Mus musculus: one gene and its partners. The protein of the gene in region 2 interacts with the protein of the main gene of each other region in a pairwise test. Links are inferred from orthologs where the notes say so. Each region holds a gene or a part of one and is shown on either strand. Other genes may lie near its edges. The genes, in order: Kctd6, Ehhadh, Kctd9, Ssna1, Fundc1, Des and Mid1.

Evidence for each region.
Region 1: the proteins of Ehhadh (region 2) and Kctd6 interact in binary tests that used the Homo sapiens proteins (3 or more experiments, as listed by UniProt). The two-hybrid records come from large-scale screens. The link is inferred for Mus musculus from reciprocal best matches to the Homo sapiens genes EHHADH and KCTD6.
Region 3: the proteins of Ehhadh (region 2) and Kctd9 interact in binary tests that used the Homo sapiens proteins (3 or more experiments, as listed by UniProt). The two-hybrid records come from large-scale screens. The link is inferred for Mus musculus from reciprocal best matches to the Homo sapiens genes EHHADH and KCTD9.
Region 4: the proteins of Ehhadh (region 2) and Ssna1 interact in binary tests that used the Homo sapiens proteins (3 or more experiments, as listed by UniProt). The two-hybrid records come from large-scale screens. The link is inferred for Mus musculus from reciprocal best matches to the Homo sapiens genes EHHADH and SSNA1.
Region 5: the proteins of Ehhadh (region 2) and Fundc1 interact in binary tests that used the Homo sapiens proteins (3 or more experiments, as listed by UniProt). The two-hybrid records come from large-scale screens. The link is inferred for Mus musculus from reciprocal best matches to the Homo sapiens genes EHHADH and FUNDC1.
Region 6: the proteins of Ehhadh (region 2) and Des interact in binary tests that used the Homo sapiens proteins (3 or more experiments, as listed by UniProt). The two-hybrid records come from large-scale screens. The link is inferred for Mus musculus from reciprocal best matches to the Homo sapiens genes EHHADH and DES.
Region 7: the proteins of Ehhadh (region 2) and Mid1 interact in binary tests that used the Homo sapiens proteins (3 or more experiments, as listed by UniProt). The two-hybrid records come from large-scale screens. The link is inferred for Mus musculus from reciprocal best matches to the Homo sapiens genes EHHADH and MID1.

What each region holds. Positions count from the first base shown.
Region 1 is NC_000080.6:8,212,349-8,217,045, forward strand, and holds the start of Kctd6 (BTB/POZ domain-containing protein KCTD6), read left to right. Parts: upstream 1-1,732; 5' UTR 1,733-1,994; intron 1,995-2,153; exon of another isoform or gene 2,154-3,760; intron 3,761-3,766; exon of another isoform or gene 3,767-4,697. UniProt on the Homo sapiens protein: Probable substrate-specific adapter of a BCR (BTB-CUL3-RBX1) E3 ubiquitin-protein ligase complex mediating the ubiquitination and subsequent proteasomal degradation of target proteins.
Region 2 is NC_000082.6:21,784,803-21,789,562, forward strand, and holds the start of Ehhadh (peroxisomal bifunctional enzyme), read right to left. Parts: upstream 3,033-4,760; 5' UTR 2,979-3,032; coding exon 2,905-2,978; intron 1-2,904. UniProt on the Homo sapiens protein: Peroxisomal trifunctional enzyme possessing 2-enoyl-CoA hydratase, 3-hydroxyacyl-CoA dehydrogenase, and delta 3, delta 2-enoyl-CoA isomerase activities. Catalyzes two of the four reactions of the long chain fatty acids peroxisomal beta-oxidation pathway.
Region 3 is NC_000080.6:67,714,794-67,719,213, reverse strand, and holds the start of Kctd9 (BTB/POZ domain-containing protein KCTD9), read right to left. Parts: upstream 3,117-4,420; 5' UTR 2,878-3,116; coding exon 2,830-2,877; intron 1-2,829. Other genes in the region: Cdca2 (cell division cycle-associated protein 2), read left to right, coding at 4,209-4,272, 4,358-4,420. UniProt on the Homo sapiens protein: Substrate-specific adapter of a BCR (BTB-CUL3-RBX1) E3 ubiquitin-protein ligase complex, which mediates the ubiquitination of target proteins, leading to their degradation by the proteasome.
Region 4 is NC_000068.7:25,270,411-25,274,105, reverse strand, and holds Ssna1 (Sjoegren syndrome nuclear autoantigen 1 homolog), read left to right. Parts: upstream 1-1,687; 5' UTR 1,688-1,756; coding exon 1,757-1,808; intron 1,809-1,977; coding exon 1,978-2,177; intron 2,178-2,524; coding exon 2,525-2,632; 3' UTR 2,633-3,067; downstream 3,068-3,695. Other genes in the region: Anapc2 (anaphase-promoting complex subunit 2), read right to left, coding at 174-306, 569-1,191, 1,429-1,590. UniProt on the Homo sapiens protein: Microtubule-binding protein which stabilizes dynamic microtubules by slowing growth and shrinkage at both plus and minus ends and serves as a sensor of microtubule damage, protecting microtubules from the microtubule-severing enzyme SPAST.
Region 5 is NC_000086.7:17,569,179-17,573,728, forward strand, and holds the start of Fundc1 (FUN14 domain-containing protein 1), read right to left. Parts: upstream 3,148-4,550; 5' UTR 3,003-3,147; coding exon 2,975-3,002; intron 2,830-2,974; exon of another isoform or gene 2,691-2,829; intron 2,282-2,690; coding exon 2,125-2,281; intron 1-2,124. UniProt on the Homo sapiens protein: Integral mitochondrial outer-membrane protein that mediates the formation of mitochondria-associated endoplasmic reticulum membranes (MAMs).
Region 6 is NC_000067.6:75,365,824-75,369,203, reverse strand, and holds the end of Des (desmin), read right to left. Parts: intron 2,445-3,380; coding exon 2,362-2,444; intron 2,196-2,361; coding exon 2,154-2,195; 3' UTR 625-2,153; downstream 1-624. UniProt on the Homo sapiens protein: Muscle-specific type III intermediate filament essential for proper muscular structure and function.
Region 7 is NC_000086.7:169,878,074-169,882,682, reverse strand, and holds the start of Mid1 (E3 ubiquitin-protein ligase Midline-1), read right to left. Parts: upstream 3,065-4,609; 5' UTR 2,774-3,064; intron 1-2,773. UniProt on the Homo sapiens protein: Has E3 ubiquitin ligase activity towards IGBP1, promoting its monoubiquitination, which results in deprotection of the catalytic subunit of protein phosphatase PP2A, and its subsequent degradation by polyubiquitination.

The DNA of each region.
Region 1 (4,697 bases), on a different chromosome or scaffold from region 2:
AATCAACATTGGGGTACTGTATGTATTAAAATCAACATTGGGGTGCTGTATGTATTAAAATCAACATTAGGGTACTGTATGTATTAAAATCAACATTGGGGTACTGTATGTATTAAAATCAACATTGGGGTCCTGTATGTATGATTTTGTGTCCTGATTTGCAGGAGCATATTCCCATATTCTTTTTAAAAAGATTTATTTATTATTATACATAAGTACACTTTAGCTGACTTCAGACATACCGGAAGAGGGCATCAGATCCCATTACAGATGGTTGTGAGCCACCATGTGGTTTCTGGGATTTGAACTCAGGACCTTCGGAAGAGCAGTCAGTGCTCTTACCCGCTGAGCCATTTCTCCAGCCCTATTCCCATATTCTTAATTAGTTTGTATCCTTGCTTAGATGTCAATGTAGCCGTCCATTGTGTTGAAGTCCACATTGCTTATTTAACCTATCAATTTGATTTTTGGAGAAAAAATAGAATATTAGATGATGATCATACATATAAAAACTAGATTTCAGAACCACCTCACAAACATGCAGATGTGTAAACCAGGTAAGTTTCTGTTTTGTTCTTTTGAGAAAGGGTCTCGTTATGTAGCCTCATCTGTCCTAGAGACTAGCTATGTGGGCCAGGCTAACCTAGAGCTCACAAGAGACCCACATGCCACTGCCTCTAAGTGCTGGCATTAAGGATGTGCACTACTTTTACTATGCCTGGCCCAGGTGAGTTTCTAAGGCCAGTGGCTTTTCACCCATGTAGAAGTGGATTGAGATCTGGCTAGCTAGAAGTGGTGGCTTTTGCATCTTGTCTATGCATGGAATCCAATTAGCCCTGCAGCCTTGATGTCCTTCCTGAAGGGACATTACCCTTGCCAGTCCCATCCAGACTAAGATCCTCAGAGGTATTACACAGGATGACGTTAGTTAGCTCTGCCCTTCTAACTGGCTGCTCTTCTCTGCCTAAAAGGCTGGATCGGTGGTCCCTCTAAGCCATTACTTTACAGAATGGCCTGCCTTAATATATAAGGCCAGGAGTCTTATATATTAATACATTAATAATATTAACTACATTATTATGTATATATTAATATAATATAATTACATCAATATTAATAACATTAAATGTATACTAATATTTTATATATATCAGATCGTCACATCTTCCCTTATTCTCCAAGGCAGCCTTCTTTTTTTTGTTGTTGTTTTTTCAAGACAGGGTTTCTCTGTGTAGCCTTGGCTGTCCTGGAACTCACTTTGTAGACCAGGCTGGCCTCGAACTCAGAAATCCACCTGCCTCTGCCTCCGGAGTTCTGGCGTATGCCACCAAGCCCGGCCAAGGCAGCCTTCTTATTGGACCGCTCTCACCAGGATTCGAACTTGTCTTGTGTGTGTCTACTGGCTGCTTTTTTGAGTCTTGAGACGCGCCTCGGTCTGGGTGGCTGCTCTTCTCTCTAAGCCCTGCATGCGATGAGGTCTATCGACTTAGTGAAAACAGCTGAGGAGAAACAGTTGCGGAGAAGGAGTCCTGGGCAAGCAGGGAAGAGACTGCTGGCGGCCAGGAGGAGAGGCTGAAAGCGGAGGGGGAGTTAGGGGCGTGGCCTGGGCGGAGCTCCGCGCGGGAGTCCTGGGCGGGGCGGGGATAGGAACGGGACGGAGGCGGGGCTTCGGGACTGCTGCAGAGCCCGCCTGACCACGCCGCCCCGGCAGCGCCCAGAGTGCCCGCGGCGATCCGGCTTCCCGGCCTTCGCCCCGCGCCGCCGATAGGGGGCGTCCGCGTTCTCGGCGCCGCGACTCTGCTGAGAAGGCGCCGCCCGCGCCGGGCAGCTGGAGCCGCAACTCCGGGCTCCGGCTCACTCGTCCCCTCTGCCGCCGCCGCCGCCGCCGCCGCCACCGCCGCCGCTGCCGCCGCGGGGCGCGGGCTCGCTCGTCCCCGCGCTCGCGCTCTCGGGCCGCCGGCGTCTCCCGGCCGGGTCGCCTCCGCGCTCGTGCAGTGAGTGGGGCGCGAGCGGGGCCTGCGGGCCGGGGCTGCGGGAAGTCGGGCTGAGGAGAACGGCGGGTGGCGGCCGCGCGTCCCCGGGCTGGCACGAGCCCGCGGCGGGGCCTGGGCGGGGAAATCGGGGACGCGCGGCCGCCTCGGGCTTTGGGCTCCGGCTCGGGTTCGGGGCTCGGTGCGCGTGGCCGGCCGGGCTTGGCTTGCGGGAGACCGCGGAGTAGGGACCAGCGGGCTCTGCGGGGCAAAGGGTTGGTGTTTTGGGGAGTGGTGTTTATTAGCCGCCACTGCCCTAGTTTAAAGCTCTGCTTTTTGGGTTTTGTGCACAAATTGCAGCTTTTTACCGGAATTTTGGGATGTCACGGCGATTTAGTGCTGGGTGTTAAGAGGTGATCCTTGGCGAGGTCGTGGGGAGCCCCTGCAGCACCTGCTGGGCGATGGCAGCGGAGGCTGTGTCTGGGGGTGGGACGGGGAAACGAAACGTGACTGAGATCCTGTTTGGATATTCTGCTGAAGTTGTCATGTTTCTGTTCTGTACACCAGTACATACAGCAAGTTGATAAACCTGGTTTCAGGATTTCGTGATGCAGACAAATAGACCGATGTGACCTGGTTTAGCTAAGAATGTCTGGGATAGCCCAAACAACCTGCTCCAATGTACCCCCCTTGGCAGGCTCATCTTTTTCGCTGTTGCAGATATTCTAGTATGGGAATAATGGTGGGGTATTACAGGCCCAAAGCCAGAAGTGTTTCAAAAGAGTAAAGATCTAAGTAGGTAGGGTGGGAGAATCACCCTTTGGATGAAAACCAGGAGCCCACACGGATTCTTAGTTTTTTGTAATACCGTAGGTAGAAAGATGGCCATAGAATTTGAAAATTTTTAAAGTGTATTTTAGCTGAAGCAATAGCGTGGAAAGCAGTCTTATGGTCACTCCTATGATCCATCGTCGCATCCTGGATTTTAATAGTTGGGGTCTATTTTAAACGGAACACGTATGTGTGTCTTCTGCTTTATCTTGAGACAACCCTGAGTCATGCTTTCTAGAAGTCCCGAGAGCTCACGTGTCTGTTTGTCTCTGCGAACGCTGGACATCATTTTACCTTTAGTTTTTCTCACGGCAACTGCGGTGGGATCTCCGGGAAAGGAGGGCCAGGGACGGGACAGAGTGGGAACACAGATTGGTCCTAACCTGCATGTTCGCCCACCGTGTCTGACTTACCTATTTAAATTTTGGTGATGCTGCGAGTAGTAAAGGGCGGTCTACTCAGGTTCTCACAGCCCTCTGCTGGCATGCTGCACGTGAATCCAGAGCGCCACTCCTCACTGCCCTGTCGGCCAGTTTTACCTCCATTGTGTTTAAACGGTGTGGTTACTTTTGGGAAGGTCATAATACCCATTTTGGTGGAAACTGAGGGAAAGTAGAATTTTATGATTTGTGACTCTGACAGCACTTAAGCTGGAGAGTATATATTCTTCTGGTTTGATACTGTCAGAAGATTCATAATTTCTTGTAGGACTTTCTCCCTTTTTGCCTACATTTCCTTTCTTCTAGCCCACGAGGTTGAGAGAGGGGTTTAGTTAGTGGTAATTTAGCTTTATAATCCCATTATCCTTGTGCGCTCGCTACTTGTGCTGGCCTGTATGTGGATGTTAACTCCGAAGACGCCAGGAGATGCCACTGAACCAATTACTATAAAAAGTATTTCACTTTCAAACTCCCACGTTCCCAAGAACAGAGAAACTCAGTACAAAGGCAGCTTGGAAGGTAAGTATAGGTGGAGAGAGAAAATTTACCGGTCTTCATTTTGGGATGGCAGACACAAAGGTTTCAGTAGAAAAGCACTTGGAAGGGCTACCCAGAAAGCGTGGGAAGGCAGTGACTACAGTTGTATCATTACATTTTCTAATCCGAGGTTAGCATTACGGCATATAGACTGTTACAGGGGAGGAGGACTTTTGCTCTGGAGCGTCTTACTCAATAGCAGAAGTAAGTCTAGAATGTTTGTGCTGTCTTATCATAACCCCCACTGTAGCTTTGCTGTGGTAAGGAGGGTTCTCACAGGTTAAGTTGTTAACTTCCTGGAGTGTGCATTCTTCAGATTTGCTAGGGTCAGTAAATTAGTAACTTCTTTTCAGGCTTCTAGAAATTCTTCAGAATATGTTTTTCTTAACTACCTGCTAACATACTATCAGATTTTACACATTAGTTACAATGACCTTTGAAGTTCAAGCAAGCATGATAGTCTTTAGGACCATAATTTTTTTTTTTTTTTGAATCAAAGGTCAGGTATTTTCAGGTAAACCGATTTTACAAGTCAGAAAGCCTTTCTTTGAACTTTATAGTCGTTGGTTGTAGCCATGACTCTAAGAAAGATCTTTCGTAAGGGAAAGTCACTTAAAGGAATCTTATGAGGAAACATTTCACCTTGGCCTGCTTGATGCCCCCTTGGAGGCCTTCTGTCGCCTGGCTTGTTCTCATTAAGCCCTCCACTGGAGGAGGTTGTGCCGGATGGGAGAGAAGATGAAAGGGAAATGAATTGTTAGCGTCCCTGGAGAACGATGAGGTGGAAGAAGCTGAAGCTACTTCTGGGTTGTGTTTATTGTATCCACCCCTGAGATGTTCTTGGCAGGCATCAGTTCAGAGTCCGGCTGTTGGATAGGCTAGAATCTTGCCCCTCTTGTCTCTCTAGTTGCGTCTCTGT
Region 2 (4,760 bases):
CAATTTACCTAAAATTAAAGTTCAGAGGAAAACATGGGAACATGTAGGGTCTAAGAGAAAAAAAGATCTCCACGAGGCTGAAGCAAATACTGAGCAAGGGGACTACTGCAGGGGACTGACCACAGGCTACTCAGAGATACAAGGAGGTCCTAAAAGTGTGGAGTCATTTACAATACAATCTCCATTGCATTTACCTTAAGATTTCTCCTGATTGGGGAGGGACATAGCAGGCTAAATGCTAGGAACACACCAGAGAGTACCAGCAGGAGTGGTTGTGAGACTGTGGGACATTTCCCTCCTGACCTCTTGATGGACATAGTACTCAGGATCAGAGAGTTCAGTAGAATCCCTCTATCAAGTAATCCTATCAGTACATGAGCGCCCCACGTGGATACGGAGCCATATTGCTTATGCTTTCTTTGTGAGATCACGTGCTGTAGCCACTTCCTGGTTTCTGGGCTGAGATCAAGAGTGAGACTGGCATGATCAATAATTTGCTTCTGCCCTGCCCAAAGTAGCCAGTAATTTTTGCACATTATGTATTAATCAATGCCATCCTTCATATTAACATAAGTACAGTATTAAGTCAAGTGTGGTGGCACATACCTTTAATTCCAGTGATTGGGAGACAGAGGATAGTGGCTCTCTGCAAGTTCAAGGCCAGCCTAGTTCACATAGCTAGTCCAGGTCAGCCAGAACTACAAAGACGCTGTTACAAAACAAACAAACACAAACCCAAAACAACAACAACAAAAACCTCTCTTGGGGGCTGGTGAGATGGCTCAGTGGGTAAGAGCACCCAACTGCTCTTCCGAAGGTCAGGAGTTCAAATCCCAGCAACCACATGGTGGCTCACAACCATCTGTAACGAGATCTGACTGGAGTGTCTGAGGACAGCTACAGTGTACTTACATATAATAAATAAATAAATAAATCTTAAAAAAAAAACTCTCTCTTTTTTTTTTTTTTAGCCTCCATGAGTACCAGGGCATGTGATACACAGATATACTCTCAGGTAAAAGACCCATACACATAAAATAATAATAATAATTAAGTTTAAAAAATAAAATCTAATAACAGTGTGGTTTTAAATCTCAGTTAAAATGAACATGTCTCCTCTTTTCTGTTGTTTGTTTGTTTGCTTGCTTTTAAGATTTTTTTTTTTTTTTTGAGACAGGGTCTGAATAGATCAACAGTTCCTTCTGCCGCAGTCTCCTGAATGCTTCGATTCCAGGTGTGTGCCACCCCGGCATCTGTTTGGTTTTGCTCCAGCAGCTGGTGGTGGGAATTTTCAAATGGCCTATGTTTACTTTATTTATTCTGCTACTGTGCTGCTAGTTCCTTGGGATTGACGCATTCCCTCCCGAAGGGGCTAAGACTGGGGACGCTAAAGAGACTGACAGGGCACTGAAAGCTAAACACATCTACTGATGTTTAAGACGCCCCAGGAAGCTCAGAAACCTGTAAGTTTCATAAGATCCGTCTCCAAAGTTACAGGAGAGAAGCAATTGTGAGGAGGGGGCTCCTCACGAGTTGGGGTGGGCTTTCCAGGGGTTCCGTTGTTTCAGAAGCAACTATACTCTTGTAACTGACCTCAGTAAAGTCACTAATCTACCGAGCTAGACGTGGGTGGAATCCTTTACTTGGCCGGTCACAGATGCCCTCTCTCGGGTGAACGGTTAGTTGTTCTCATCCATTGTACAGGACTATTCTCCCAGCCAAACTGCTGCAAGTTTGGCTTGAGCCTGTTTGCCAAAGATCGCCAATGCTGGGCTTGTTGGTGGTAGACTTTCATAGAAGGACTGGACCAGAACACTCTGATTATCCAGCCACCCCTCTTTGCCCTAATTGTACCCTTGGGTCTCTAGGAAGGACTAGAGGATATAGGTAGGGAAGGATTAGGGGAGGGAGTTCTTTATTTATTTTTTTTTTCTTTAGTTTTTCGAGACAGGGTTCCTCTGTGTAGCCTTGGCTGTCCTGGAACTCACTTTGTAGACCAGGTTGGCCTCTAACTCAGAAGTGCTGCCTCCCGAGTGCTGGGATTAAAGGCGTGCGCCACCACGCTCGGCTGGGGAAGGGGTTCTTAACTGCCACGGGGAGTCATGATCTTTGCTGGGGAGGGCTGATTCCAATGTGGCAGTTCTAAAGTCACTCATGCTCCTGTCCCCGCCCTCCCCTCCCCCAACCTGCCCCCAGCGCACCACCCTGTTCTGAAAGTAAGCCTAAATCCATTGCATTGGTCCCCTGCAGAGTGAACAGGGCTGGAACTGTACCTAGGTTTGTCCTTTAGACTGTAAGGTCTCACCTGAGAAAAGGGTTTTAGCAAGGTCTCACCAGTGAAAATTATACAGTATCTGTCACAATCCTGTCCACCACTTCTGCAATGTATGGGTGACTCCTCCTGAGGCTAATATAGAATTATACTCTATTCGCCGGTGATATGGAGTGAACAGGGTAAATGAATATCATTTTTTCAAGAAGACAGATCTCATTTATAATAGTAATGTGCTAAGTGCATTGCACAGGAGGGCACTGCAGGTGGTGTAAATGAAACTTCAGCTTTTCAGAAAATACTATCCAGTAGGCCTCCTCTGACAGGGAGAGTTGACACTCAAGGCACTAAACTCTGCTTTTCTACGAGTCAGCTAACTATAGCTTTTGGCATCACAGAGACGCTGGGGTTGCAAGCCGGCAGTAAGGTTGCAGGAAGGGGTTCAAGCAGACACTTGCTGCATCAACCTCACCTTTGTAAGTTCCTGATTCGCCAGAACCAAACGTGGGCCTCGCAGTGAGGTCAACAGCTGACAGAAGGAAGGCCGGAGCCAGCTGCTCATTGGCCCGCCCTTCCAGCTGAGACAAGCCCCCTCCTAGACCCGCCACACCCCACTGTCCGGGCGGTGTTACCTGATGGCATTGACCGGTGGATTGCAGAGGCGGATCATAGCCAGGGAGTGGGGCAGCCTCAGATACTCAGCCATTTTCTCAAGGTATCCTGCGCCTCTGATGTCTGGGGCAGCCCGGGGCTCCTTTTCTGGGCCGCCCTGAGAGGAGGGGCGTGCTCTGAGCCAATGGGAGCCGCTGCTACCGCCTCCTGCCCCTTGCACTTCGTGCTCCCTGGGGCGGGCTGCGCTCCAAGGAGCGCGATCTTCCTATGCTTCCAAAGGGAATGTCCACAGGCAAGCCAAACTGCTGGGTCACACCACCAACGTCAATCACATGTTCACAAAACAGCCATTTACCAGGGCACGAAGCCCCGGCCTTCTCTAGTTCTGTCCCTCCTAAAGGCTGGGATTTTTCACAGTTCATCCAGGAACTGCACACATATTATGGGCTGGACGTAGGCTGCAGCCTGACAATAAACCATGCCTTGTCTCTTCCCTCTAAAACAGCCTGGGGCACGGTCCTTCCAGCTGCGCATGGCTCCTCTTGGTTGCCAAAGTCCACCAAGTGGACAGAAGACAGTGTGCAGGTTGACAAGTAAAACCGTACTTGTAAATCTTCACTGATGTTTCACAAGTTTTAACAATGTCTAAATATTATTTCTAGGAATGTTACTTCTAGGTATGGTGTCTAGGAGAAATCAGTCCCAGCATCCTAGGAACCTGAGCAGGTAGAGTTCAAGGTTTAATAGCACTGAGTGGCCTTATTACACCCCACCCCCTTGGAGCAAGGATCGATAATAAGCCCTCTTTGGAGTCATCTCAAGACACTTTATAATCTCCATCTGTAGGACTCGGTCACTGGCCATTAGGTTTGCACTTTTATTTTAATTGAGCACGGAACTTTCTGTGGTGTCTCCCACAGTGGGTTCTTGGTGAAGGCTTTAATATAAATCCATTAAATGGCTTGGATGTTTACAGTTGGCACCTCGGTGGGAGCAGAACCAGCGAAAGGCAAGTAAGGCATTTAGGGAACAAAGTTCAAAGGGCAGTTCCAATCAGGTTCTGCCAGTGCTCCTCAACAGCAAAGCCTCCTATCACTTAGTCCCTCTGTAAGTGGCAGAGGAATAGGGATACAGCTAGGTGGCAGCACAGTGGGTTCTCTTTTCCTAATGGTACAGAATTGTCTACAAGCATGGGTTCCAAAGTTGCTGAGTTCATGGATGCCAATTAAGCAGGTTCTACCGTGTTGCTGTGTGTAGATAGTCTTTTGATCTTCCATATCCTTCTATTTTACTTATTTTGTCTTACAAATGTAACCATACTTTTGGCTACGTTCCTGGATTACCTACTATCTTTCTCCACCCCAATCCCTTCCAACCCCACAACACTAGGTCAGTCAGAAAGAGAGTTAGAGGGAAAGGGGGCGTAGATCTGTTTAGACTACTTTCTGCTGATTAAGGGCATCAAGTTCCTTAGGGGCAAGTCCAGTCTTTGTCTTCAGGATATCCAATTTCTTCTTCTCATCTTTGCTCACAGCAACAGGAACCAGCAGCAGCAGCAGTGGTGGAGGCAGCAGCGGCAGCAGCAGCAGGGGGGCAGCAGCCTCCACAGCTTCTGGGTCTCTGGCATTTTTATACCCTTTCAAGAGTCCACAGAATTCCAAATGTAAACTAATTTTTTTTTTTTTTTGGCAGAATCACACCCCTGCCAGAGCATGAGACGAATCATAGTCAGCTGCTGTGAGAGCAACCCCATATTCCACACCTGGGACTAAAACAAAACATATTCACACACCATAACTGTTTTCAAAAAAGAAACAAAATTCTTACTACATACACAGTGCTACTTCATAGGATATCACTGTCTTAGGCAAGCACC
Region 3 (4,420 bases), on a different chromosome or scaffold from region 2:
TGAAGCCCAAGGTTGATTTGAAGAGCCTTCTTCCATTGTTCTGTACCTTATTCACTGAGGCAGTTTCTCCACTCATCCCGGAGTTGCCAACATGGTCAGCATAGAGAGCAGCTTCTTCCTGGGACCCCTCATCTTTGCCTTCAGGGCCTGGGGTTACAGGTGGACTGCTGCATATATCTACCCAATATTTGCTTTTTAGGATCCCAACTCCGCTCCTCACACTTGCGGCCTATGCAGTACTATTAACCCCTGAGTCCTCTCCAGAATCCCAAAGGTTTTTAAAAACTAAGGCGAAGGAAAAAAAAAAAATCCAAGACCTTTGCCTGCATGTACAGGAAAAGACTTTTCATGTCTTGGTCATGGCCTGTCATGACGAGGATGACCTCAGCAGACCACGGGCTAATAGTTCAAAGAACAATATACCCGAAGGAAGAAGCTGATTATAGCAGTTATTAAGCAAAGACTTTTCTTAAAACATGCCATTCGTTGGCTTGTGAGATCCTTTTATTTTTTAACTTTACTGCTGATGCTAGGAAAAGCAGCAGCTTTGCCGCTTTCTCAGGGTTTACTGTGCTTGCATAATTAATACCGGCTTCAATCTGCAGTTTCTTTGAGGTTTTAAAGTCACTTAGCACTTAGTTGATGGCTAATTTAATTAAGACTCCCTGATGTAAACTTCTATACTTACAGGCTTCTTCTATACATTGTATGTCAACGAGAACCAACTGCTAAGTAAGCTGTTGGCTATCGACCTATTTACATCTGGAGACCTCTGTTGTGGAAGAAAACAAGACCAGCTTGACAAGTTCAGTAACTAGAGGCTCCCATGCTTTTCCAGATTAGAAAAGCCAAGTTGTTGTTGTTTTTTAAAATTATTTTGTTTTCAAATTAAAAAAAAAACCAACAACACACACACTCCTCCATAAAGCCCCAAGGGTCATCTTACACCTTCCACGGTATTCTCATTTCATTTAGAAAATATCAGCTCTTTCATCAACATTAAAAGCACGAATCAGTTACACAAATCAAAAGTGCATGTTGGTAACTTGATGTATGGTGATGAAATCTGTGCCTTTCTATATCACAGCCCATAGCCCAAAGGCCACAAAGCCAAGCATTCAAAAAACTTATTCTCCTGACTAGGGCATTAAAAATAGACACCAGGTAAGTAAAGAGACAAGCTAAATGATATATTCTACTTTAGAGACAGGAAACCAAACTATCTCAGAGTAGCACTGCATTTGGGAATATTTTAACGAGCGTCCATGTCATGTTTATGCCAGTCCTGATTAGATATAGGGACTATGCATACACTACATATCCACATACATAAATGCAGGTGGTATGTATTGTGATCTTTTCAAATAAAAGTCATTTTAGTATTATTTCCACCTTCTGAAAGGAGAGGAAACAGCCTTGCAACATGTTCTCTAGCTTAGGACATGGTGGGACATAGTTTTTTTAAAAATATTAAATGTTAATATTCTTCGGCTCAGTCCTATGATCATTGTAATGCATATGTGCCCATACTCATTTGAGAAGTACTTTCCCCAATCTTCGGAGATTCTCAACATTTTTTTACTAAGTAAATAAAATTAACCTGGAAACTCACAGACAAAACCAAAGTTTTTAAAAATTTAAATAATATACCCAGAGCAAGCCACTCAGTTTTACAGTGACAATAGCATACAGTGAACTCAGAAGAGATTTAGAGCAGAGCTGAGCACTTATGAGGAACTCTGATCACTTCGACTTCAGGGAGTCACACAAGAGTCGACACTGGTGAAAAGTGCTTATCAATACGACTGTTAACACTGGGCACACTAAATCTCTCAATAAAAACCGACACAGTCTACTAGCCAACTACAGCGTGGCCCAGGAACAGCTGATGATCAGAAGTGACAGCCTTTTTAGCCTGTATTTCTGAAGCACTGGCTGAGCTTATGTGGCTACTATTTTTGTGTGAATATCCAATCTTTAAGAAAATAAAATCGCAGAGCACAAACCCCACTGTGGATCAGATTTCCAGAATCTGTTTATTCAAAACTGCAGAGTGGTTGAAGGACATCGCTCCCCTACCCCTCATCACCCCCTTCCCCCGCACCACTTTAATGCCCTTGAATAGTTAGTTCTGCTATGTATACGCGGGGCAATCAGAGTATTCTGGTCAATTACAGAGTGGAGCCAATGTACCTTGAACTGAAACTTTAAAAGGGTTCATTACTTTTGAGACTTTAATCAGGCTTAGGTATGTGTGGGGCAGTCATTTAACCACACATTACTAGTCCGCCAGAAACAGCCAACATTTTCCAAAGAATAACTTTCAAGGGTGGGGCAAGAGGCAGCTGCAACATCGGAAAAATATTTAGCACCACGCCCTCCACAGAGGCCTAAATGCAGCTAAGGCTACTGTCAAATCAAGTCATTCCGAAGGTCTGCTGTCACTGTCCTCTAAGGAATCAAAAACAAGGCGGCACAGTAAAACATGTATAAAAGTTTGCACGGTGGCGGGGCAAGGGGCCCGGGGCACCTTGAGAGAGAAGGAAAGTGGTTCAGACCAGGTCCACATTCTGAGGATGTCACTCGACTGTCCCCTGGAGTTTTCTTCTCCCGACCTGGCCAGGGTCACCCGCCTCCATGATCACTGCCTCCTCCCCGGGCAGAGCATTACTCAGCACCGATAAGGACAGGAAGGCGCAGCGGGAAGGTGGGAGGGGACCTCGGCCAGCTGCTCAGGTGACAGTGGCGCCTCGGAGCCCCGCCGGCAGAGCAGCCCCGGGCTGTCGGAGGCTGCGGGGGTCCCCGGGTCGCGCCCCCGCTACCGCTTACCTTGCCGTTGCTCGGGCTGCCGTTCAAGAACAGCGTGACCCGCCGCATCGCGCCGCCCGCGCCGGGTCCTGAGGGAGCCGCCACCCTCGCTCCCGGCCCGCCACCCGCCGCGCTCCGCGCCCGCGAGACCCCTCCCGCCTCCCACCCGGACTCTCCGCCCTTCGCCACCTTCCTGGTCGGCCCCACACTCCTCACGCACGCACCCTCAGTCCCACACCCCGGGGTTGGCCGATCCTCCTTCCCACCCCGCCCCTAGGCTCCTCAGCCTGCTAGCGGCCCTTCCCCCCAACCGCGCCCAGACCGACGCTGAGCTGCGCCAATCAACACGCTGTACCGGCCAGTATTTAGCCAATCAGAGTCCGGCTGGGGGGTGGGCTCAGAGTAACACTAGACGGCGGTGGAAGGAAAGAGAGGCTGAGGGCTGGTTGACGGAATGGAGTATCAGCGAATCAGAGAAGAACCTACTGGGCAAAGGGCCGCTCTAAGCGTTACTGAGCAGGCGCACGTTGGAGTGTAGGAGTGCTCATTTGCATAAAGAGACTGGGTCTAAGGAAGAGGCGGGACGCCGAAGTCCCATAGACCAATCAGCTCCTCGCTAGGCTTTTGCCCCTTCTACTGTACCCACCCACCGAGGTAACGGTTGGTATCGGGATTGGCTAATAGGGTAAACTAGCCATCCGGCGGTTCTGTCTCGATTGGTCTAGTGATTCATTTTCGAAGTTTCCAGCAGCCAATCCAAGGTTTGGGGTGGCATTTGAAGTGTTGCTCCGCGGAACTCACTGGTAGACCCCAGGACACCTTTTTGCTGCAGCTCTGTCTCGCCAGGGTCATTTAGGGCTGGCCGTGTTTTTTCCGGGATCCACGGAGGTCTCCCTGCGCCGTTCGAAAGCACGAGGGTGAGGCCCGGAGGGAGCGGTACCCACGTCACACGTGGTCCACGGCTCGTGGGTATCCCTCCGCGGGGGCGTGGCCGCGGTTTGAATTTGCTGGCGGGCAAGTGAAGCTTGACCGCTTCGGCCGGACGTGGTGTGTCTGGTGTGCAGCGGCCGGCAGGAGGCCAGCCCGGCTCCCTTCCCCGGCCTCTGGTGCTCTCTGAAACGGAGCCTCCGCGACGCTTGTCGTAGTCGTCCGAGGGAACGCGCAGGGTCCTGGGCGGGAGAGGTAGGCCTGCTATCCGGCCGGGGTTCAGGGATGCAAAGCCCTGATAAATCAGTTCGGTCCGCTTTGTTTAGTCAATAGTACCTCCCGCCGTTTCTTTAATCAGAACGCCCCAGCCTGTGGTCCCCTGGTATTGATTGCCTTAGAGTTCTGTCACATTGTTTTTGGCTTATAGTGAGGTTATTTTTCACATTTTTTTCTCTAACTTCCTCATCTTTTAGATGGATGCGAGTTCACACGACAAGCCTCTCTCTGAATCCAAGGAGTGTGTCCTTAATAATTCTGGTATGTGGTGACCTGTTGCCCTCGTTAGATGGAAGATTTGAGTGTTTTGATGTATTAACACCCCCAATGTGCTGTCCGTTTTCAGAAAATGACGTTTTTAGATTGGGAACTGAACCGTTTGTGACTCCTCAGAAGCATGTAGCAGATG
Region 4 (3,695 bases), on a different chromosome or scaffold from region 2:
GTACATACGAGATTTGTTCTTGTCATCAGGATCCAGGACTGGCTTCTATAGACAGCACCAGGATAACCTCAACCATCACCACTCCTGGTCAACTTGCCTACTGTTTGGTATCAGGTCTACCACAACTCCACTTTTGCCTTTAACAAGAAACAGACCAGAGAGGTGATTCTCACCTTGTGAAACTCACGCAAAAAAGAGCGCTCATACTCTCCTCGGCAGCGGTCTTCCATCCTTTCCCGGGTCACCTGATGCAGGGTGGTTGTCACGGCCTCAGCACAAACCCGCTCCAGCAGACTGAGCCTATGCCTAGAAAAGATCCCCGCTCATGGAGAACCCACAACACACATCTGTCCCTTACCTAGGAGGGCTCTCCCCATAAAGATACTGCACACACACCCTATGCCTATGTCCAGGACAGTATAAACGTGATGAACAATAATCCCTGGTTACAAGTATGGGCAAAAAAGACATCGCCAGTTAGTCTATAAGCTCTATTGAGAGGTCTTTTGAATTCAGGACTAATGAAGCTTGCAGAGAAACCGCAGCATGGTTAGGAAGCAGTACTCACAGGACCTGGCTCAGCTGGTTGAACTGCTCCAGTGCCTGCCGGCACCAGCACTGCTGCTTGTCACTGCCACATCCTGCGCACAGAGGACTCTGCAAAAGTCGGTAGTACCTGCGGCGGGCATACCGGCTATCTAGCTCACCCTCTAGTTCCGGGTCTGTGCCCCCTTCTCCTTTTCTCTTGCTCTGCATATAGACTCTCAAGAAACGACCATAGAGGCGCTGGACCATCTCCTGGAATGTCCTAGGGGTGGAAAAAAACAGGACTCCCCGCAACATAGTGTGAACTTTCTCCCGAAGCCCCTGAGCTCCAGCGCCCATCAGCAAGCCCAGACGAGTCCATTTCTCTAGGAGTTCTAGGCTATGCAGATAGGGATCCAAGCGGCTTTCCAGCAGACCGAACGCATCCAGGAGCAGCCCAAGGCACTGGGGCTCATCGACAGAGTTTTCTCGCAGAGCGATGGCATTCCAGAACTCCGTGGCAATATTGCCTTGAAGGTCGTTCTGCAGCACTTCCACGAACCACTCCTCCAGGACAGAGTGCAGACCGTGTCCCCTCAGAACCTCCACCGCTGCACGAAGCTCTTCCTCCTTTGGTGGGACTGCACCGCTGGTCCGGGAAGACGCCTGGAGCACGGAAAACCGTGAGCAGAGGGGCGGAATAGGGGTAAAGGGAGAGGAGGGGCATGGAAAAACCCAGCAACCGAAGAGCTGCCAGGGAACCAAACAAATCAGGTAGCTGAGGAAGGAGGCAAGCCCACTACAGGCAGGCCACGGAGCTGTGAGGCCCCAAGGGTGGACCCCCTAAAGTATGCAAAGTCGCGGGAAATCTGCACAGGCCCGACAACCTTTCCCCGGCCTCACCAGCCCCAGCGCGGCCGGCGGCACCAGACCGGTGCTCACAGTATTCCAGGCAACCAAGAGCTCCTGTCCAGGCCTAGAGTCGCAGTCATCGGAGGCAATAATTGTCGCCGCCGCCGCCGCCGCCGCCGCCGCCGCCGCCACCGCCACACCCTCGGCCTCCATCACTGTCCACAAAACAGACCCGCCCAGTAGAGCGCACGGTGATGACGCAAGCGCGGACCTGTGGCGCAGCCGTGACGTTCACCAGCCCGCGCGCTTTGTGGGCAGTGCGCAGGTGCGGACTTAGCTGTGCAGGCGGCGGTTGAGGCTTCCGGACGCGGTGCAGACCATGACCCAACAGGGCGCGGCGCTGCAGAACTACAACAACGAGTTGGTCAAGTGTGAGCGTCGGGCACTGAAGGCCGCGGGCCGGGGCCGGCCGACCCACTCGGGAGGCTGCGTGGACATGCCTCACGAGCCCCGCTCTGCGGCCTGCCCCTCTGTCATTGCTGGTTGGGGTCGGAAGCTCACGAGTCCCCACCCACAGCTCTGTCTTCCCACCCACCCTAGGCATCGAGGAGTTGTGTCAGAAGCGAGAGGAGCTGTGCCGGCAGATCCAGCAAGAGGAGGACGAAAAGCAGCGGCTACAGAATGAGGTGAGGCAGCTCACGGAGAAGTTGGCCCGCGTCAACGAGAACCTGGCGCGCAAGATCGCCTCTCGCAACGAGTTTGACCGGACCATCGCAGAAACCGAGGCCGCCTACCTCAAGGTGGGGCTCTCAGATGTCTGTTGTGAGTGCCTTACTACCATCTGAGGCTAGGTAGGGCCCATTGTGGTTCAGAGGCTGTAGGTGGAACAGTGGGCTGTCTGTGGGTTCCAAAAGTGAGCATTGGTGTATTGGACAGAGTACACGGTGTGGGCCTGAATTAACCCAGCCTGGCTTTGCAGGGTGGAAGAGCTCTGGGACAGGTGCAGAAGGGAGGATGGTTTTACTCCATAACCAGTTGGCTACAGCACAGATGACCAAATTGAGATTTCCATCCTCCATTATTAGAGCCTGAGGCAATGGGACCTTCCTACCAGAGAAATAACATCCTTTTATTTCTCTGGCCCCAGATCCTGGAGAGCTCTCAGACTCTGCTTAGTGTACTCAAAAGAGAAGCTGGGAACCTGACTAAAGCCACAGCTTCAGACCAGAAGAGTAGTGGAGGCAAGGACAGCTGACGAGTGCCTGTTTCAGCCGTGGCCTATGGCTGCTTAGTCCTCAACATGTCTGTCCTAAAGCATCTTTGTTCTTCGTGGCCTCAGATGTCTTTTATCTCTGGTGCCCAGAGGGGCAATTTCTGACCTCCACCTGCCTAGACAAGAAAAGCCCTAGGACAGTCCAATGGAAGAGGTGTTCCCAGCTCCGTACTCACATGTGCTGTGGGGACCCTGAGCAGCTCCATGAGGGGCCTCTCTCTGAAGCTCCTGAATCCCTTTGGGCTACCAGGAATGTCCTGGTCCTGGTCTGAGTACTGTGGGAGCCCCTCACTTTGTCTCCCCAGCCACTAGGGCCCCAGGCCAGACATGTTGAAGAAAGAATCTTGACTCCAGAACCAAAACCTTAGGGCCCATCCCCATGGCCTCTGGTGTTTCAATAAAGGTTGTTTTGCAAGATCTGTGTCTGCTAGCTACCATATATCCTGTTGGTAAGAAGACCTGCAGTTTTTCCCTTTCTTATCTTCAAAACACAAAATGCTGAAAGTACTCACCTCACACAGGTCAGCCCTAGCCCTTAACTCTCTTTGCAAAGGTGCTGGTGTTTTCCCCAAGTCCAGAACACAAACCACTTTTCTGTGAGGGGCTTTGCTCTACGATGGTGCTCAATACAGAACCTGGCTCAGAGATAGAGACAGGGACAGTAAGTTCTGTTTGGTCCAATCTGCTGCTGCTGCTGTTAGGACCCATCTTCCAACCACATGTGTTGCTTACTTACTATTTCCATGTGCCCTATGACCCAGCCCTTTGTCACAGCTTCTGGGGAAAGTTTGGAAGTATTTGGTGACCAAAAAGATCCAGAAAACAGCTGTGGTAGTTTACACCTGTCATCCTTCGTTGAGGAAGAAGGATCGCCTTAAAATCAAGGCCATTCATGTCTGCATAGTAAACTGTAAACCAGACTGGGACATAGTATGAAACCCTTTCTTAAACAACAAAAAAAGTACCTATAAAGCTGGGCTTTTACTCTCTGAGAGAAACCTACTTCAACATTCTCCTTAGCTCTAGTCAAGCAGTGACAGGAAAA
Region 5 (4,550 bases), on a different chromosome or scaffold from region 2:
CACCAAGCTTGGCATCAAGCCTACTTGCTGAGCTATCTTGCCAGCCCTCCTTTCCACTCTTAGGGGCATCGTTACCTTTGGAATGTAATGTTGGGATTCCATAGCTCTGCTTCTGGATCACACTCTAAAAGCAGATTCAGTATTCAAGGCCTCCAGGTCTCCTAGCAACCACCTTTTCTCATACTAGTTTTCATTTCTTATTACCAAAAACTTATGGCTAAATCCAATCTCCTTAGGCTATTCATGTCTTGAGCTGGTCGGTCTCAAGTGTTAAGTTAGGTTTATGCCTATATTAACTGTTCCTCTTTTATGCCACAATATCACATCAATGTTATATCCTAAAAAGATTTCAAATGTTTTCTACTCTGAATCTAAACTACAGTTCAAATCATTCCAACAAATCACCTATGTAGCTGGCAATATCACTTAGAGTTAGAATGCTTGCAAGGTCCTGAATTTGTGCCCACATAAAACAAAAACAAAAACAAGCCACCTGAATATAAGTGTCCTATTACACAGACCAGGTCATAGAGAGAGTTGAGCAGGTCAAAGCACTTGCTACCAAGTCTAAAGAGCCCAGTTTGATCCCCAAAACTCACATGGTAAAGATCAAACTCCTACTAGCTGTCCTCTGACCTCCACATATATACTGGGACACATCTGTGCCCCCCACACAAATAGATGGATGTAAAAAACAAATACCCACAAACTATTACATAGCTCCTGGGTTGAATACTTGTCTGATACTGACAATCCAAATGTATTACTACTGTTGTTGTTGTTATTATTATCAAGAATATGGTTCTTATACAGGAGTCAGTAAGGAAGAACAAAGAAAAAAGCAAGTAGTGAGGTCTTCATTAAACCCCAGGTTGAATGCTACAGCTACACAAGCTGTGTACCAGTCACTACTAACTTCTGCTCTGCCATTAGGGTTTTCAGGAAGACCTGGCAGTTATGGGCCTTCTTAGCAGGTTAGGTCTGTAAGAAGAAAATGTGCAACGATCTGGCTTTCCGCCATGATTCTCACTAACCAATCACCTCTGGCACCAAATTATAAATGCATTTAAGGGGGCAGAGTTGTAATCATCCTACAGTGAATCATCTAATTGACCGAGGCCCTGAGCAGAAATTTCCCTTCTAACTGTATGATTTTTCAATAAAGCAGTATTAATACTGTGCCTGTGCTCCATGGAATCTTCACCATAATTGTTCTTTGTTTGTTTTAAATTATGAAATGGCATTTACAAGAAGGCATGGGGCATCATTATTCCGAGGTTCATGGAAAACACACATGAATAAATGTCATTTTCCCATGCCAAGAGGAAGTATGTAAATATTTTAATTAGCACAAGATGAATTTACCTTAAATGTAAAGAAAAAAAATGCTTACAACTTAATCACTGTCACTTCAAAAAAAAAAGAGTCATCAACATATTTCAAAATACTGAACTGTTTCTGCCCCTTTTTATCTGGTTAATATTTTATTCCAAAAATAATAGAATTAAAATACATGGTAACAACAATGTAAATATGTGCTTACATGAGCTGTTGCTTGATTAATGGTTATTAGCCACTCCTTATTGTACTCCAAATTATTGCATAATAAGTAATCATTGCATTAATTCTAAAGCAAAGGCAATCTTCTCAGATCTTCTTCAAAGCACTATCATAATCAGAACCAGTACACAAAAAATGTAGAATCTGATGCATCATTGTGAATAATTTTTACAGACCATTAATGCTTCTATGTACAGAGCTGAGAATCTTAGAGGCTAGTTCTGCAATGGGAGTTCTCATGTTTTTTCCAGTTATTGGCACTGAATAGCAAGTAACAACTTACTTATAATTAACTTGCTTAAGTTGAAAATTTGTTAATGAATTAAAGGAAGTGTAAAGGGTGGAAGTGGAACTATGGTGGGCCTTTGACAGAGGGAAATCATCAAAATCCAACCAGGACTATCTGAAGGCTGATACAACCAATAAGATCCGGGAAAAGCCCCAAAGTTGTGTTCTTCTGGAATTTAAAAGTGGGGAGCCACTGAAGATTTATGGAGGCTGTGCCATTTACAAAAGGACAAGAGCCAGGTTCCCACTAAAATTTAATGAAAAGAATGTTCTCACCAGCCAGTCACGCCACCCATTACAATCTGAGTAGCTACTGAGTATTTTTCTACCATAGGTCCGGAACTGTGGCCAAATACTCGATTCCACCAGTGGTGTCTTCTTGCATATTCAGTTAAATCCAACACTTCGTATGATTCGTCATCGCTTTCATAGTCTTTAAAAATACAAAATGGAAAAAAAAAACATTCATTCTACAGTCTGAAACGTCTCACAAGCTGTTTTCATAAAACCTGTGGGCCAACACACTGTCATGTCTGGTCTACAACTAAAAAGGCCCAGATGTAAACGAAGGAGCGTGATTAACTCGATCTGGGAGACTAGGGCCTCAAGCATAAAGGGCCTAGCAACAGCATCGGCATTTCCTTTCCCAAGGCTTAGGGACACGCAGCCAGAGGCCAGTTGAATTACAAAGCAGTGGGCGGTCACCCGCACAATGAGAATAAGGTCAGGGCAGGGTACATTTCCATCTGTGGGAAAAGGGGGCGAGGGGATGATCCTTCCATGAAAGGAAAAGTCAGGAACCTAGCAAGAGGAAATCAGAGCAGGACTAAAACGCAACCAACCATGGAAATCAACCCGCCAACCCTCCTAATTTTGCAAGATGGAGAAGGGCTCGAGGTGGGGGCAGGGCAGGGCAGGGTCTAGCCTTGGTTAGGTGTAGGTGAGCATGCTAAATTCCGCAGAGAGGGAAAGGAGACCTCTGGTTCAAAGGGGCTCTCGCAAAGGGGCTGTACAGCGACAGAGCCCCAGAAACACTGGAGGAGGGAAAGGGAGAAACACCATAGCAATAAAAGGTCGAGTGCTGTGGGCAGCGTCCCAGAGACTACTTCGGGCCCTGGCTGCTCACCTTGGGGAGGGGGGTTCCGGGATGCCATGATACCGCCAGCGGCCAGTTGGGGGTGGTCCCTGCCCGCCTCTCCCCACCACTTTAAAGGACGCTCTAGGCCGAGTTGGAAGTCTATGGTCTCTCTTTTTTCCTCAGCCTCCTCCTCGCCCCGCCCACACAGTCGCGTCACCGCCACTCTTCCCTGTACACGACCTCCAACAATTTGTGCGCAGCCGCAAGGCTTGGGACTTGTGATGGAATAGCTGAGTCCCCGCCCTCCTATTGCTTATGGGAAATGTAGTCCGTGCTCTTTTCCACTGTAGCCTGGGCATTACCCCAACCTGCTCTAAGTTTCTAAGAGTTTTTTGTTGTTTTGTCTTATTTTTGTTTTTGCTTTTTGGTTTTTTTGTTTGTTTGTTTTTTACGCTAAAGGAATGGAGGGAGGAGCGGCTAAGGGTAATAGAACAAGATAATCAGTTTAGTGTTGGCAGACTGTTCTTAACAAGTCTTTAGTCAGGATGCTTCAACGAAGCTGTCTTTCTGATTAGGTGTTCTTTTTTCAGGCCCTATCTTTGGCCTTTAGTTCTTTCAAGAATTCTGTTGGCTTTAACAGAAATTTCAGGCCCACTTCTTGCTTGATGTCTAATAACCCAGTCATTCTCCAGTAAGAACCCAATTAAACTAGCTCAGCAATAAACTCCCTTGATGTCTCCTCTTGGTAGGACTCTACACTTCGACCCCCTCAGATTATGCACTATAAATCTCCAGCTTTTTGTTGTTGTTGTTGTATCCCAAATTAAAATAGACCCACTATCTATTTTAACAAGTGTCAGGGCAAATATTTTAAAGGTTTTTTTTTTTAATGAAAAAAAATTTTAATTAGATATTTTCTTTATTTACATTTAAAATGTTATCCCCTTTCCTGGTTTCCCCTCTGAAAACCCTCCTCCCCCTATCACTTCCCCACTCCTCCAGCTCACCAACCCACCCACTCCTGCTGCCTGGCTCTGGCATTCCCCTATGCTGGGGCATAGAGCCTTCACAGGACCAATGGCCTCTCCTCCCATTGATGACTGACAAAGCCACCCTCTACTACATATGCAGCTGGAGCCATGGTCCCTCCATGTGTTTTCTTTGGTTGGTGGTTTAGTCCCTGGGTATCCTGGGAATAGCGGTTGGTTCATATTGTTGTTCCTCCTATGGGGCTGCAAATGCCTTCAGCTCCTTGGGTCCTTTCTCTTGTTCCTCCATTGGGGACCCTGTGCTCAGTCCAATGAATGGCTGTGAGCATTCACTTCTGTATTTGCCAGGCACTGGCAGAGCCTCTCAGGAGACAGCTATAACAGGCTCCTGTCAGCAAGCACTTGTTGGCATCCAGAAAAGTGTCTGGGTTTGGCGACTGTATATGGGATGGATCCCCAGGTCACATTTTTCTCAAACTGCTGAGGGCTCTAGTTTTTTTAGTGCCCTGTTAGTCGAGCAGACTTTTGCTTGTATTTTTGGTTGGTTGGTTATTTTTAGACAACATCTCACATAACCTAAGATTCTCTGGAACTCCCTATGTAGAGCACGCTGGCCTCAAACTTACACAGACCTA
Region 6 (3,380 bases), on a different chromosome or scaffold from region 2:
AACTTTATGCTCCGCCCCCAGACCTTTAGGCTCCTCACTTGTCGCTAAGTTCTCTGTCGCTAAGTGTCTCCCCCTAGACTGAAAGGCCTCCTTAAACACGCTCCAGCATCCCATACATGCGTGACGCTTGTTTTATCCCATCAATGTCTTAGGCGGTTCCTTTTCATCAACAAAACTTTCTAAGTCAGCAGTTGTCAATCTGTGGGGGTCAAATATTAGATATTGACCTTATGATTCTTTTTTGTTTTTGTTTTTTTCTTTTGAGACAGGGTTTCTCTGTGTAGCCCTGGCTGTCCTGAAACTCACTCTGTAGACCAGGCTGGCCTCGAACTCAGAAATCCGCCTGCCTCTGCCTCCTGAGTGCTGGGATTAAAGGTGTGCGCCAACACTGCCCGGTCGTTTTTGTTTGTTTGTTCGTTTTTGTTGTTGTTGTTGTTGTTGTTGTTGTTGTTTGGTTGGTTTTTGACCTTATGATTCTTAACAGTAGCAAAACTGCAGTTATGAAGTAGCAGCGAAAAATAAGTTTATGGTTGGGGGATCTCCACCACGTAAGGAACTGTATTAAAGGGTCGCAGCGTTAGGAAAGTTGAGAATCACTGATCTATGTTATCATGGCCTCATAATACATATACATATTTTATTCAATTGATTTCTCTTTTCTTTTCTTCAATAACTCCTATACCCTTCCATTTCCCCTAACTACCTCAAATTTTCCTTCTGTTTGTTCTTGGGTGTTGTTGTTTGTATTTGTTTTGTTTTGTTTCTTATACAGGGCCTCATTAGGAAGCAGAGGCTGGCTTTGAACCTGAAGTCTTCTGGTCCCAACCTCTTGAGCCCCTGTTAGGATTACAGGCAGCACACCGGCCCTGGCTCCCTCTGGTATTTTAATTGAGACTAAATTCCATTGGAACTGCTTATGGATAGAGGGTGGCTTGACATTCTCTTAAGAGTGCCGAGCTGTTTTTCACCCAAGTAAAAAGTCTTGTCTTTGCACTTCTGTGAACAACGTTATTTTGCCTGGATCGGCTTCTGCGCATTAAAGAAAGGGTTAAAAGGCTGAGCCTCGAGGATGAGGAGTTTAAAGCTGAATGGTTGGGTACAGAGGGAGTTTGCAGCCAGTCTGGGTTACAGGAGACATTGTCTCAATGGAAAGGGACTGGCAGTGCCTTGGGGACAAAAGGACCGAGGGAACTTCCTTCACAGCCAGTCTGTAGAATAGGACTGTCCCCATCCCTACCTTACCCGATGCCCAGGTGATATTAAGGGGATAGGTAGCCTAAGGGGATAGAAGGCTGGACCGAAGGCTCTGTGGCTTTTTAACAGAAACCCCTTCTCCAGCACCCCACGCTCCCCAGACTACAGCACCCAGAGGCCTACTGTTCAATCTCGCTGAGCATGACACTGACACAGTTCATCCCAGGGCAATGGGGGTGTGACACGGTCCAGACTCCCCCTGAGACACAGTCAAGATGACAGGGCCATGCAGGTTTGTGCTTGTCTCTTTATTATTGTTTCTGTCCAGGCCCCTGCGGTGGGAGGGGCAGGCAGGGGAGGTGGTACCCTCCCACCAACCTGAGCCCACTCTCTGCCTCTCTCTTCCTTCCTCTCCAGCTCCTCACCCATCCTCTCTCCTTCTGTAGCTCCTGCTCCCACATCCAGCACCTTCCGCTTCCCTCTTACAGCCCCCGCTTTCCAAGGCCATCCTGGGCTGCGATGGGAAAGAGAGGGGCCATGAGGGCAGTTTTCAGGCCCCCCACTCTCCATCTCAGCTCGCTGAGGCTTCATTCTGTCTCTGACCCAGGCTGGGGATGTCCACAAACTCGGTCCTGACCCTGCAGATCCCAACACCCTCTCTGGTACCCTCTCCTAAGCCAGGGGTCACAAAGGTGGAAGGGGAAGGGCGATGACTTGAGCTGGGTTCTCTCTTAAGAGCCAGCTTTGACACCTGCCAATAGCCAGGGCTCATGGGAGGGTCTGCAGAGGTGGCTGAGGGGTTCCCTGGGGTTGGGCAGCATGAAGACCACAAAGGGGTGATCGGTGAGGGGGGGTCAGAGCCTGTGAGTGGAGAAAAGTGGCTGGGTGTGATATCCGAGAGTGGAAGAGGCTGGCTTCAGGAGGCAGTGAGGACGGGGCCAGGACACTGAATTCCTGGCTTACAGCACTTCATGTTGTTGCTGTGTAGCCTCGCTGACAACCTAAGCAGGAGGAGAAGGCCAGTCTATCCACTGCTGGCTTAGAAGAGCCTCACCCCAAACTGTTCCACCCCAAGGCAGCAAGGCCCACCCACCCCATCCAGGGTTGGAAGCCACCCAGCTGGTGAAAGACACCGGGCTGTCAGACAAGGGGTCCGACACCACTCACCTCTCCATCCCGGGTCTCAATGGTCTTGATCATCACTGTCTTTTTGGTATGGACTTCAGAACCCCTTTGCTCGGGGCTGGTTTCTGTAATAGACCCACCCCATGCTCATATGAGCCTGGCCAGGTTCATACCTAAGCTGCACCATGACTGGAAATCCACCCCAGGCTGCATTGCTCCAAGTGCTAGCTGACTTTCACCTTTCTTATGACAACTGTCTGACTTCTTTGAGACCTCATCCTGGAACCCAGCACCCAACAGATGATTTATAGAGAGAGGGACCAGTCTTGCTAGAGGAATGGCTTCAAGAGCCAAAAGATTGTGCTGTGTGTTGGTACAGGATAGCAGGGGACCCAAGGCCCGGGAACAGTATTCATGTTTCCTATCCTGCCTTGCTCTCTCTCCACCTCCAGATTTTCAGAAGAGTCCTGAATGGTGAGTTTATATCCGTGGACTCTCATCTAAGACAGGACCTCAAAGCCCAGGCCTATAGACCTGCTGGAGGAACCTAGAGGCTCCAGGATGAGCTGTTTAATGTCTTAATGATGCAGGAGCTAGTCCCTCCTGTGCCTCAGTTTCCTCTCTGGGAAGTAGCAGCCATGATAGTCCACTTATTCTGTCTCAGAGCTGCTGATCCGCAGCAAAAGTGATTTTATATGCAGAACACATACTTGGTATCTGAATAAACAAATAAGTGAAAAAAGAAATCTGAGTTTTCATAGTGGGGGTCACATTTAGTTCCGTGGTGTCAGGAGTTTGGCGCTCATGAGTCCCTTAGCAAGCAACTAGGCTGTAATGAACGTTTGACTCGATGGAGCACAGCGTGTATTTTTCCTGATGGAAATGAACATCGAAGATATAAAAGGTTTGATCTAGGAAAGGAGACGCTGCCAAGATCTCCGACTTGCTCTCCTAATGTATCATTAGTGAATTCTTTTCTGCTCTCTGGGGCTGGGAAGCCACTTGATCTGCATATTACTAATGTCAGGATGGCAACGTGCCCTCAAAGCTCGTTCGCCTCA
Region 7 (4,609 bases), on a different chromosome or scaffold from region 2:
GGAGACCAAGAGACTAAAAGAAAAGTCATCTCAGCTGCTTAGTATATTTCTCTAAAGTTATTGGGATTCTAAAATCCCAAAATATGCCTGGTAGGGAATTTCATCTGGAGATTCTATTTTTTTCCAACTTGAGAATGAAATATTTGTTCTTAGTCTGTGGTGGGACAATTAATGTGACTTGCTATTTAGGGAGGATATTTGCAGTTGTGGGAATGTCATAAGCAAACCTGTTGTTTTTGGCTGGACTTCTATAACAGGTGGCCATGCCTTTCCTTTTGCCTGGGAACGCAGCAAATTCCTTCTCAAAGAAGAATCTGAAAAGTTTTCCATTTTTTTTTTTTGATCAAAGTGCCAAGAGAGGTTGGCACACTTTAAAATGACTTCCTGATGAACTTGTCAGGTTTATGTTTGTTTGCTTGCTTGTTTCATTTACCTTATAAGAATTTTGACCTGCACTGTTTGTGTGCTGACAATCTGGTAAGAGCCCAAACTTTCTGAGTCTTACACACAAACATGTAGCCTTCTAATTGTGTTGGCGAGTTTTGGGCTATGGAGAATTTCTAACTAGTTAGTGGTAGGGATCTGTCCTGGCTTGCCACCCCACTGTTCGGCATTTGCACAGCCCTAGGGACGGATCACTTACCAGCAAGAGGATTGTGTTTCATTGCTGAGCTGATGACACATGGGTTGGTTTGATAGCTAACCCTGCAAATACAGCCAGGGGCTGCTGGGCCTAAGATGACAAATTGGTTGGTGGATGTTATTCCTCTGCCTGAATGAAGTGGTAAGGTCTCTTCCCCTCCCCCAACAAGAGAAACAAGAACAAATCTGGGACTCGCCCATGCAGTAATGCTACCATCTCATGCCTGGTTTCTTGTATGAACAATGATCGCTACTCTTGCATCTCCTCCCCCAGTCCCTCCCTCTTTTCAACTACCCAATAGGCGAAAGAACAATGTTATATATGTATCCAGAGATGTGGGATGAAAAGATGGTCATTCATTAAATAACTAAGGAGTTACTACATGCCTACTTGTACAGTTAAAACTTCAACACTGGGCTGTTTGCCAACTTCATACAAATGCCACAGTTCCACATGGGAAAAATCATCCCAAGCTCTGGACAAGCCTGCCTGAGGCATCAGACAGAGGGAGTGTCACCCCATTCCAGAGGAACTGTGTGGGCACAAAGATTCTAAAAATTGAGTTCACACATCACCGAGGACAAGACAGGTGGCTTCACACAGCATCAAATAACTTCTTTGTTCCGGCTTAGGACCTTTGTGAAAAATAGTATTGTGTACCTATTCTCTTTCTTGCTCCTATCCAGCAAGCCTCCTTGCCCCTTTTGTCTATCTCATGTGCTTGCTAGAAATTCAAAGAATGAGGCTGCTCTATAAGATCGCAAAACTTCGAGAAAGCCAGCCTCTGCACCACTCTCCAGCTAGGCAGATGCAATTTGCTGAAAGCACACACACAGTCTTTCATGTGCTTTTTTCTGTACTCCTGCAATTTCCCAAGCTCGTCCAGAAGAGCAAGTTAGCGAATAAGAAATGTGAGGGCCTTTGCTCCTGACCTTTCATGCAGGGCCTCTGCTTTACCTCTGCGGCAGTGAAACGGAAAGTCGTAAACCCCTTGGCCCAACCACTCATGGGAAGGTTTACTTTCGCCTAAAGTGAACACTTTGGGGTGGGGCACACCCAACTCAACTGGAAGAAAAAAGAGAAGAGGTTTTCCGGTGACAAAACAGATGCTCAGTTTCCCACCCGGAGTTACTCCGCTCTGGCAAGAGTAACTAGCATTCCTCCCCGGGAGTCTCTGTCCTTCCCAGTCACTGAAAGGCTTTTACTTTTGTCTTTCCCTTGTGAGTATCGATCTCGGCAATAAAACATTGACGTAAGATTTTTTTTTCCAACTGTGATAGAGTTGTAAATTACACCCTCTTCTAGGCTTTGTAATCCAGTCTTTCCTTTTCTCTTTTTCCTCAACGGCAAAGCTATAAACCTCATAAACTTCTACCTAAGTTGATAAGGAATTGTATCCCTATGCCCTAGAGCGACGGAAGAAGCTGCTGGCTTGGAATTCTTCACAGAGACACACTCAAGACCGGTCTCCCTTCAGTACTTCCGGGACTGTGTTCTTACGTCCAGCAGCAACACAAAATACAACTCCTAAAGTGCTAGAACGGTTTTTAAAAAAGTCTGTAACACCCCCCTCCCCCCTCCCCGCGCCTGCCTCCGCTGGAAGTGCAGCTTGTTCCATCCAGACTGCTTTCGCCTTCTCAGCCTCGGACACACAGTAAAGTGCTCAAAACGTGAAAGCAAAATAAGATAAGAGTCCCAGCGTGCTTCTTTGTCAGACTGTGCAGTTGTCTTTATTCTAACCTGAAGCATAATAGGGTAGAGGCTAAAAGCTTGAGATGAATCCAGCACAATACATTCCAGAGGCCCGCAAACTGGAATTGATTTGCATATTCCACAAACCGCTCTGAACCTTTTACAAAGACTGCCTGACATCAGCAACCACTCTTAGAAGCAAAAGCTGGCGCGGGTAGGTAGTAAGGACGAGGCAGTGGGGTGCCGGCAGGTGATGTGCTTTCTAAGGTAGCCTTAGGAAGAGAAGGCAGTCCCCTCCTTCCACCTAATGGATCTGCTGGAACGCTGCGTTTGATCACTCCGCCCGCTCTGGGAGTAACAGGTCGCAGGGGCCCCAAGCTAAAGCCCTCCTTCTGTGGCTGGCGCCAGCACAGCTACAATCACAACCCCCAAGCTTACCTGCCTCATGTTTAGAATTCCATGACCCATCCGGCAGGGAGCAAGCTGCTCGGAAGCGCACCCGCAGGCTTCCAAGCGCAGACACCAAAGCCGGCAGAAAAGCCCACAAGACAAAAGCAACTCGGTCGAATCCACAGGCAGCAAAGAGCACGTTTTTCGTCCCCCTCCCTTTTTATTCTTTGATCTGCTTCTAGACGCTCTCTACCCAAGACAATGTCAAGTTTCTCAACCTTTCCTTTTCCAGCCTATGAAAAGTCGGGCGCAGGCTAGCGAGGACCGCCTGGCTCTTATTTCAAATCAGTTCACAGGGACGTCGTAGGCGGCGGGCTCCGGTCGCGGAGAGCCTCGCCAATCAGGAGCAGTGGGTGGACCTGGGTGCAGGAGAGGCTGCCTTTACCAGGATTAGGGCAGCTTTCAGGAGTCAAATGACTGGAAGCAGCTGGATGTTGTGTCAGAGCTCCCCAAAGTAAAGGATGAGTTCTATTCTTGTCTAACAGACTGCATCTGCTCAAAGCTTAACTAGCTCCGGGCCTTAAACCCTTGCACTTTAAGAGCCCCTTAAAAGCATTAAAGCATTTTAAAGGTGAAGAATGATTTCAGCGAGAAAACCTCAACCCTCAGGACCCAAAGATATTTTTTAAAGTGTATCTTGTTCTAGATACCTAGTTTTGTAAAAACAGTGAAGGGAAAAACCACACTGCTGTAAGTATCACTCTAACTGAAATAAGCAACCAAGACAGTTACCCACCTCGTCTTCACATAAACTCTATATCCAACCTAAAGAAGCAAATGTTAATGGGACTGAGCACACAAACATTTTGAAATACAGGACTTGAGGAAGAATCTTCATCGATGGTGACTGAAAGCACAATTTCAGATAAAACATCTCCTAATTAGAACAATGAATACAGAAATTTAGTTAATGAAACTTCTTTTTACATAAGTGTATGTACCTCTTTGAGTGTTTGAGTTTATCAGTGCTAAACTGGTAAGCTCACTAATTTATATATATATACAAAAAATATATATATACAATATATATATATTCCCAAACAAGTGCTCACAGTTTGAGGATAATCCAATATATATATTAAGTTTTTGCAGTATTAGTAAATAATAACAGATAAAATAATGATTTAGTGGTTTCAGGAGTGCTGGAGGTGTGGTTCAATATGTGTGAGCTTGGCTGAGTTCTCTGAGATTTTGGCAGCAGGGCACCAGCACCTGGGAGTCCATAGCTCTGCCTCAGCTCCCCACTGAGAAGTTTTAGAGTCCCCCTAATCACACCAGCTGCCCTCAATCCATTTATTTGTTCTTCAGAGTCATTCACTATGGCCTAGACCCAAGCTTGTTTAGCCTTTTCACATGGTGATACCTTACTAAAACAAATCACACACACACACACACACACACACAAAACACACAGATACACACAACACACACACTGAGAGAGAGAGAGAGAGAGAGAGAGAGAGAGAGAGTCCTAATGTTTTAAATACATTTATAATGTTGTGTTGCACAGTATTCACAGTCATCCTTAGCCACATGCATCCTTAGGGTCATGGGTTAGGTTGAACAAGGTTGGGTAGATGAAGGCTTCTAAACTTTGAAATTACTAGCATTTGCAGACAAATAATTCCTCACCATGGACCTAGCTGTTCAGTGTGTTGTCAAATATTTAGCAACATCAGGACCTTTGCCCACTAGATGATCATAACTGATTAATATAATATAAAGATATCACTGGATGTCTTCTAGGGATCAAAACCAATGTTTGTTAAAACCAATTCTAGTTAAACATGTGAGAATGCTCATGCCCCTGGTCTAAGAGAAACT